Linked DNA regions of Oryctolagus cuniculus. The protein of the gene in region 2 interacts with the protein of the main gene of each other region in a biochemical or structural test. Links are inferred from orthologs where the notes say so. Each region holds a gene or a part of one and is shown on either strand. Other genes may lie near its edges.

Region 1 (4,358 bases), on a different chromosome or scaffold from region 2:
CGTCTACTTCTGAAAGCTGGGGCTCTTCACCGGCCCGAGCTTGGTGGCCATGCCGAAGGGGTCCATGCTGTCGGTTTCCAGGGGCGGGGAGAACAGGTCGGCTTCAGGGTGGTCGCCAAGGGCCGCGGTCTCCTCGGAGGCCATGGGCAGCACGGGCAGGAAGTGGGAGAGGGGCAGGAAGCCTCTGGTCTTGTACAGGTGTCTCTGCTTGGCACTGCTCAGAGACACGGGCAGGTGGTGCGTCGTGGAGCGGTACACGTTGTAGCCGGAGCTGATCTCCTCCTGGAAGGCACAGTCCTCCTCCGAGTACTGCAGCTGCGGGGACATGGGGGACGCGGGGCGGGGTGGCCAGTGAGCCTGGGCTGCGGCTGCCCCAGGGCCTCCCTCTCCCCATCTGTCAGCCCCACCTGTGTCCTGAGCCCTACCACTGACAGGCGGGACAGGCACTCAGCCCACCTCTGTCACCACTGGCATTGGGGAGAACACCGGTAAGCCCGGTTGTGAGGGAGCCTTCCACTAAGAATCAGCTTGCTGGAACCTCCGGGCCCGCTGCCATCCCAGGCCCCCCCCCCCCCCAGAGGGCCCAGGCAGCCTGCCAGGAAGAGCAGCCCCTCCCCCCAGGCGAGGGAGGGGGCTGCACCCAGCGGGAGGACCGGAAATGTGTGCCGGAGGGAGGCGGGGGCGGGAATCTGTCCCTGGCCCTGCACGCAGGCAGCCTGGGCGGAGCCGAGATGCGGGAGGTGGCATCCCGCGTGGGGGCCAGAGGACAGCGCGGGGCCGGGAGGGGGCTGGGCGGTGGCTGCAGCCCTGGCCCAGTCAGCCTCCATCCACCGAGGTCATTGAACTGCAGGTGGTGAGCCATGGGCTGATAAGACACCGAGCACCGGCTCCTGCCGGGCCACCAGGGCACGAGGACAAAGCCGCAGCCGCCGCGGCGCTGCCTGGCAGCGGCAGTGAGTTCTCTTGCATTTCAAAAAAAAAAAAAAAAGTGAATGAACAGATGAACAATGGAAATATTTCGGATGTCCGGGGCGGGGAGAAACCGACATCCTTTCTCCTTGCAAAGAATGGAAGGGGTTCACCTTCCCAGGAGACGGCGCGACTTTTAAGTCTCCGTGTGTGCCCAGCCGCGCCAGTGAGCTCAACAGGCAGGAAGGGATTTTAGGTGGAGAGCCCCTTTCCCCCTCTCCTCGCCCCGAGCCCCCCCTCACCCATTAGCGTCAAAACAACAAAAGTGACACGGGGGAGGGGGCCGGCAGGGGCTCCGGTGTCGGCTTTCAGCCCCGCCCCTCCTCCTCCGTCTCGCTCTTTTTGCACAGATAAATGTCACACTCGCTAATGCTTCCCTTTCGGCTCACAAAAGGCCTGCCCCGGGCCAGATTTGCATCTTCGTGCCCTGGCCCCGCTCCTCCCGGGGGCCCAGGGCTCTGTGTGTTGTGTGTGGGAGGCCTGGGGGCCCCCGGGGACCTCACACAGCCCCAGGCGCGCCTGGGGCCTGGGGGCGCGTTCCTTTGAACTCGCAGCCTTTGTTCCCGGGACCAGAGCCCCGGCAGGAAGTGTGCGCCTGCCGCGGCTTTCGGCGGCTACCTGGATCTCCCCAGCCCCCCCAGCCGAGCGCCTTCTCGGCACAGGTGCGCCCGCCCCGACCGCGGCACCGCGGGAATGCGCTGCTGGCTCGCCCGCATCTGAACCGCACGGCCGCCTTCTCGGGTGGAAAACTGGAAGCACATCTGGCCAGTGCCGAATGCACTGCCTCCCACACACCCCGGAGTTGGTGGAGATTTTAAAAATTCGTAATTTGTAGATGTGCCCTTTTCCCCCTCTCTCTTTCTTTTCTCTTACCCTTGAGGGCGGGGGGGGGGGGGAGCGGGGGGAGGAGGCTGAGGACCACACACGCGCAAGCCCCGGCTGAAGGTGGGCGCTTTCCTGTTTCATATCAATGGGCTTCCTCCCTCCAGCTGCGCCCGCCGCGGCCTCAAAGGAGACACACAGGCGGCTGCTCACACCGCAGAGCAACGCGGGACACCGGCGCCACCCGCCCCGCGGCTCCACGCGGGTCGCCGCAGAGGGAGCCAAGAAATCCCGAGAGCTGGCGCGGGGCGCACCCCGCACGCCAGACACTTACCTGCCCCCGCATCCTGCCGTCGGCGCCCATGCAGAGGTAGCGGGAGCTGTGCACGCCCTTGAAGGCCACGGTGCGCAGGGCGACCGCTCGGATCTCCAGCAAGCCTGGGCGCAAGCAAAGCGAGAAGCCACAGCTGGCACCCGCGGGAGCCCACAACACGTGGGTGCCGCCTGTGCCCGCGCGGGAACCCCCCCCCCTTCGCTCTGGGCGCTGCCTGGGGGGGATGGGGGTCTGGGCACGGGTCCCAGAGCCCGGGTGCCCAAGCATGGGGATCCCGGGCGTGAGGGGGGCTGCGGGGTGGGGGCAGGGGGCCTGCCGGCACTCACTGTGTGCGCTCTGGCTCCGCTCGCAGTCCACGGCGCCGTCGGCGCGTATACGCAGGAAGCAGTGCGAGACGCCGTGGGCGCTGGTGGCGTACAGGTGCCGCAGGCGGACGGGCTCGCCCCAGCCGTAGTGCAGATGCGGGCCCGCGTCGGACAAGGCCAAGGGGCGCGCGGCCGCGGCCAGCCAGAGGCCGGCCAGGACCAAGGCGCGGGCCGCGGCACCTCCGCTCGGCGCGCGGCGCATGGCACCTCCCGGGAGCTGGCGGCGCGGCTGCGGAGGGGATGCAGGAGGCTGGGGTGCGAGGGCGGGATGGCTGCGGCCCTCGAGCCGGCCGTGCGCTCCGGGCGCCTGGGCGCGCAGCACTCCCGCTCCGACGGCGCGGCGGCTCCGGGCGCGCGGCCTTATATAGCTCGCCTCCCTGGCCCGGCGGGTAGGTGCCCGCGGCACCGAGGCATTTCTTATCGGGATGGCAGCAGGCCCCCGCCCCTCGAACACACCCACTCACACCCCGCCCACGGCCCCAGCCCCCGCCCCGACCCCGGCAGGTGGGCGGTGGCTCCGAGGCGGTGACCCCGCCCAGGCTGTGCGGCTCGCCGGGGAGCGGGAGGAGAAGAGGAGGGGTCCCGCGGCGGGGGGACAGGGGGGCACTCTGCTCGGCGCGGCGGCCCGGGGATGCCTGGCTTGGCGAGCTTAATTTTCTAAAAGCAAGCAGGCGTCTGGAGCCCGTCTCGCGGGCGCGCAGGGTGTGTGGTGGCAGGGATCCCGCGACTCCCGGCCTCGGGGCCCCCTCTCCTGCAAAGACCCCGCTACCTCCCTCCCTCCCTGCCGCCCCCCGCCCCGCCTCCGCCTGCAGCCCCGGCCCTGCGCGCCTCCCGCGGCGGGCGACGTCCGCTGGGGCCTCCGCCCGCCGCTCCGGCCGTCTCGCCAGCCCCCCGGCTTTCTCTTCTCCGGCTCCCCGCCCCGGCCCCCTTTCTCCGGGTAAATCGCCCCCCGACGGGGGGCCGGGCGCGCTCCCGGGCGGCGGCGCGGACGCGGGGAGACAATGGGCGAGTCCGGGGCCCGGCGGGCGCTAGATGGCGCCTGCGCCCTAGGAGCCTCCGCGCGGCGCTGCGCCCGGGATCGCGCGCCCCGCAGCCCCGGCTCTCCTGGGCCTGCGCTCCCCTCCGTCTCGGGCGCCTTGGGCGGGGGGCGCAGGCAGCGTGGTCGGGGAGGGCCCCGTCTGGGTGGTCCAGGGGCGGAGATTCTCCGCCAGGCAGCTCCGGCAGAGAAAGACCGCGGCGCCGGGAGCGTGCGCCGGCGGGGGGCTTCGGCGCGCCCTCGCTCCCCCCTTCCCCCGCCCCGGGCTGGTGGACGCGGGCCCCCCGGAGGCCACTTCGGGGACGGGCGAGCGGCCTGGTGGGTTTCAGCCGGCGGGGCCGCGGTCATTCGCAGCCGGTGACCCGCGCTGATGCCTGAGCGCGCGGAGACCCCTCACCGGCTTGGGTCTTGACAAAGACCTGTGGGCCGGGGACCCCCCGCGCTGCGTGTCTGGGTTCAGAAAGCCGCGGCTTCTATGAAACCGAATTACTTCCTCCCTGTGGTTTTCAATCCACGGCGGCGGCTCCTGTTCAAGCGAATTGTCCCCTCCCCTCCCCGGCTTTTGTGAAGAGCCCGGGCCACCTCTGCGCCTGGGGCCCCTGGCCCCACCGCCCCCTCCCCTCCTGCTGGCGAGGTACTTGGGGTCGGTGGGGGGGAGAGAGTGCCCCGGGATCAGGGCGCCCAGAGGAGTGAGAGATGGGAGTTGACCGTCCCACGGTGTCCACTCTCCCGGCCTCCAGGCAGGTGAACCGAGTCCCCCGCTCCGTATAACCCAGGCCAGAGTGGCCTCCGCCGGGGGCTCCAGGGCCAGACCCACCACAGGCTGGATCCC
Region 2 (3,794 bases):
GGAGGGTGTTGGGGGGGGGGCAGTGTGCGGACCCAGAGGAGGGAGTGCAGCATGGTCAGGTTAGGGAGCAGCAGGATAGAGCCAGGGAAGGGTCCAGGCTGAGTCCCAGGAAGCTGAGCCATCAGAGGGGGTTTCTTAGAACAGGGCCCCTAAGGCCTCCCCAACAGAGGGCCAGGCAAGCAGGGACAGCTGCAGTCCAGCCAGGCAGCAGCCAGCTGCTGCTGGGAGACTGGCCAGGCCGGGAGTGCGGGGGGTGGGCACGGCCCCCACCACCAGCGCGTGGGAGCGAGCCGGCAGGGCTGGGGCAGGGTTTCAGGTTGTCCTGTTTTTGCTGATCAGCTTGGTTAATGCTGAACAGGTGGTGGGGGGGGGAAAGCCAGCAGCTCCCTTGGGGACAGACAAGTTGCACGTATGCATGCACACATATGTGGGCAGGGCATAGGATGGGCGGGGCCAAGGCCAAGGCCCATATGGACTCCTGGAAACCCGAGGCCTGGCACTCAGCCCCTTGGGTCTGTGTCACTCAGGAGTGCCTCCATCCTGCACCCCCTCCCTCCATGCCCCTCGGGGAAAGACACCAGGCATACACAGGTTTATTTCAAAAAACAATAATTTATAAAAAGGCCATTTGTGTCTGTGCTTTCGGCTCCCAGCCTCCCAGGGGCACAGGGGTCAATGCTCCTTCCACCGAGAGCTGGGAAGATCGGGGTGGGGGCGCTTGGGGACATAGGGTTCCGATCTCCAAACCTCTGTTGCTGTTGGGAAGCAGGTTCAGAAGAGCAGTCTGGAGCCAGGCCCAGCCAAACCCCTAAGCAGGACGCCAACACTCAGGCTACTGGGACATTGGCAGCCGAACCCCAAGGGCAGGGCCTCATGCCCAGGGCTGAACTCTGGGCTGGGAACCCGGGGCCAGAGCGCGGGAAGCCTCAACTGGACCCATGGGCTAAAGACCGACCTCCCCAGAGTGGAGTCAGAGATCTGGAATGGCACCCCAAGGTCAGGGCCCCCGGATTGCCAAGGTCAAACAGTGCTTAGATTGTGGCTGAGCCAGGAGGCCCCTGCTCACGTCTGTACCCCAGGGAAGGGGAAGGGGCTGGGCCCCAATGGTAAGGGGTCGTGACTGAAGACAGAGTCATTGGAGGAACAGGTGCTGCTGGTGTCTCCTCCGGAGGGGGAGTAGGGTCCAAAGGTCAGGCGGAGGTCGAGGTACTGCGGGGAACAGAACACGTGAGCCTGCGCAAGCGCAGTGGGCAGCAGCAGGAGGCTCGGGGCGGGCAGGGGGCAGTACCTCCTCAGAGACCGCCAGCAGCACCTTGTCCAGCGCTTCTACCAGCTGCTTGAAGGTGGGTCTCTGGGAAGGCGCCGCGTGCCAGCACTCGCGCATCAGCCCGTACCTGGGGAGGTTAGGAGCAGCCTCAGGCCTGGGGGAGGGGCCTCGTGGCCCTGGGAGGGGGAGCGGTGGGTGGGGCCAGCCAGTGGAAGGGCGGGGACCCCGCCTAGGCCTCCCCTCTGGACCCAGGAGGAGGAGGGGGAAGGGAGGGGAAGAGAGGGAGGAGGCATTGCCCTCAGGACCAGCCAAGGTCAAGGCAGGGGCTGAGGACTGGAGGGTGGGGAGTGTGGGCCAGCCTCACAGCTCTGGGGGGCAGTGTGGGGGCCGGTCCATCCGATGGCCCTCCCGCAGCAGTGAGAACAGTTCCTCCACGGGGATGCCGGGGTACGGGGAGCCCCCAAGTGTGAAGATCTCCCAGAGCAGGATCCCAAATGACCACCTGGAGGCAGGACAGAGGATCAGCAGGGCACAGCTCCCCTGCCCACTGCAGGGGGCCCAGCGGGTGTGGGCTACACAGGGCTGGGGGTGATGACCCCTGGCAGGCACCCCGACCTCAGGTCGCAGGTCTTACACATCACTCTGGTGTGTGTACACTCGGTCAAACAAGGCCTCGGGGGCCATCCACTTGACAGGCAGGCGGCCCTGGAGGGAGAGGGGTGGCATTGGTGGAGTCCCGCCAGCCCCAGGCCTGGGCCCCCAGCCCCCAGCCCCCGCCGCCCTCACATTGCTGGTTTTCTTGTAGTAGTCAATGTGGTGGACGCCTCGGGCCAGCCCGAAGTCGGCGATTTTCATCACGTTGTCCTCGGTCACCAGCACGTTGCGGGCAGCCAGGTCCCGGTGGATGCACTGGGGGAAAGGCAGGCATGTGACACGGGGCTTGGGTTTACAGGAACACATGGCTGGGAGCTGGGCACATGCATCTTCCACCCATTTTACAGATGGGGAAGTTGTGACTGGGAAAGGGAGAGCTAAGCCGTCTGGCTTCAGGGCCTGGGTCTTCTCCCCAGCCCTGCCCCTGGGTCAGGATGAACCAAATGGGGACAGGAAGTGTCAGCTGCGCAGTGCCAAGGGCAGGGGTGTGAAGCTCTGGGGACATTTAGGCGGCAACGGGAAAGGGGAGATGAGGGGGGCAAGGGCAGAGGGGCCAGAGCATGGCCGCGGCCACACCTTCTGCGACTCCAGGTACTGCATGCCGCGCGCCACCTGGTAGGCACAGGAGACCAGGGCCGGGAAGGACAGTGGCCCCTCACTGCTCCTCGGTCCTTCGGGGCTGAGGTCGGGGCCCGGGGGCCGCCGGGCCCGCAGGAACTCCCGCAAGTTTCCCTTGGCCGCACATTCCACAATCACGTACAGGGGCCCTGGCGGGGAGGGGCACAGAGAGGCCACTGAGGTCACAGGCGGCTCTGCCGGCCAGCGCCTGCCCGTGCCCCGAGCCCCGCCCAGCCGCACCTTCCTGGGTGCAGACGCCTAGCAGGTTGATGATGTTCTTGTGCTGGCCTATCAGCTTCATCACCTCCATCTCAGACACCAGGTCGGCCAGGTCCTTGTCTGAGGCGTTGTCTGCAATGGGTGGGGAAGCTGCCATCTAGCTGCTCAGGGCGGGGCGGGGGAGGGGCAGCTCTGCGGCTGCATCCCCACCAGGCTGTGCGTAACCTCTCGGAACCTCAGGGTTCACTCGTGCGGAACCCAACAGTGGATCAGCCCTCCCTCTCAGGATGCAATGGCATTGAGGATCTGAAAGAGGGAGGCCTTCCAGAGAGAGACGGGAGACGGGAGACGGGGAGAGCTGGGACAGGAAGGAAGCTGCCTTGGGAAGGGTTGGCGCTGGTCCCTCAGCGGGGGTGGGAAGCAGGCTGGCGCCCTGAGGCCTCTGTCTGACCAGGGCCTGGCATCCATCCGGCCTGGGAATTCTGGGAGCTGCCAGCACAGCTCAGAGAGGGGAGCGGCTGGAGAGAAGGCTGAGGACCAGCGGCCGGGCTCCGGAACTGACCTGCGGCCCCGGGTCAGTGGCGCAGCGCCCCCGCCCCCGCCCCCGCCCCCACCCCCACGCACGCCACTATCACAAGGCTGTTTCCCAATCCCTGCCTCCCAGAAAGTGCCAGGTGGCCCCAGCTGCTCTGAGACAGGAGAAGGAGGGAGGAAGAGGGCCGGAGGGAGGAGGGCGGAGGGGGGAGAGGAGCGGCTTGGGCTCCTTGGGAGAGGGGGCTGGGGGAAGGCAGTAAAAGGCTCCAGTGGGCAGCTCCTAGGGTCTGGCACTGACTTTACGCAGAAGTGCTGCTCTTCCAGGGTGCTGGGCACAGAGGCCAGACCTGGGAAGGGCCCAGGGAAGGCTGCAGGTGTGTCTGGGGGACCATGGGGGATGCGAGGTTCAAGGAGACCTGTGGCCAAGGCTGACACTGGCAGAACTGATGGAGGATACAGAACTCAGTCACCCCAAATCCTCACCATCATCCTTGCCCCGACG

The links.
Region 1: the proteins of FGFR4 (region 2) and FGF19 form a complex in vitro, tested with the Homo sapiens proteins (2 studies listed by BioGRID and IntAct). The link is inferred for Oryctolagus cuniculus from reciprocal best matches to the Homo sapiens genes FGFR4 and FGF19.

The regions. Positions count from the first base shown.
Region 1 is NC_091432.1:3,209,540-3,213,897, reverse strand, and holds the start of FGF19 (fibroblast growth factor 19), read right to left. Parts: upstream 2,812-4,358; 5' UTR 2,693-2,811; coding exon 2,452-2,692; intron 2,230-2,451; coding exon 2,126-2,229; intron 316-2,125; coding exon 4-315; 3' UTR 1-3. UniProt on the Homo sapiens protein: Involved in the suppression of bile acid biosynthesis through down-regulation of CYP7A1 expression, following positive regulation of the JNK and ERK1/2 cascades. Stimulates glucose uptake in adipocytes. Activity requires the presence of KLB and FGFR4.
Region 2 is NC_091437.1:63,119,214-63,123,007, reverse strand, and holds the end of FGFR4 (fibroblast growth factor receptor 4), read right to left. Parts: intron 2,891-3,794; coding exon 2,780-2,890; intron 2,689-2,779; coding exon 2,498-2,688; intron 2,177-2,497; coding exon 2,054-2,176; intron 1,973-2,053; coding exon 1,902-1,972; intron 1,770-1,901; coding exon 1,632-1,769; intron 1,395-1,631; coding exon 1,289-1,394; intron 1,210-1,288; coding exon 1,063-1,209; 3' UTR 593-1,062; downstream 1-592. UniProt on the Homo sapiens protein: Tyrosine-protein kinase that acts as a cell-surface receptor for fibroblast growth factors and plays a role in the regulation of cell proliferation, differentiation and migration, and in regulation of lipid metabolism, bile acid biosynthesis, glucose uptake, vitamin D metabolism and phosphate homeostasis.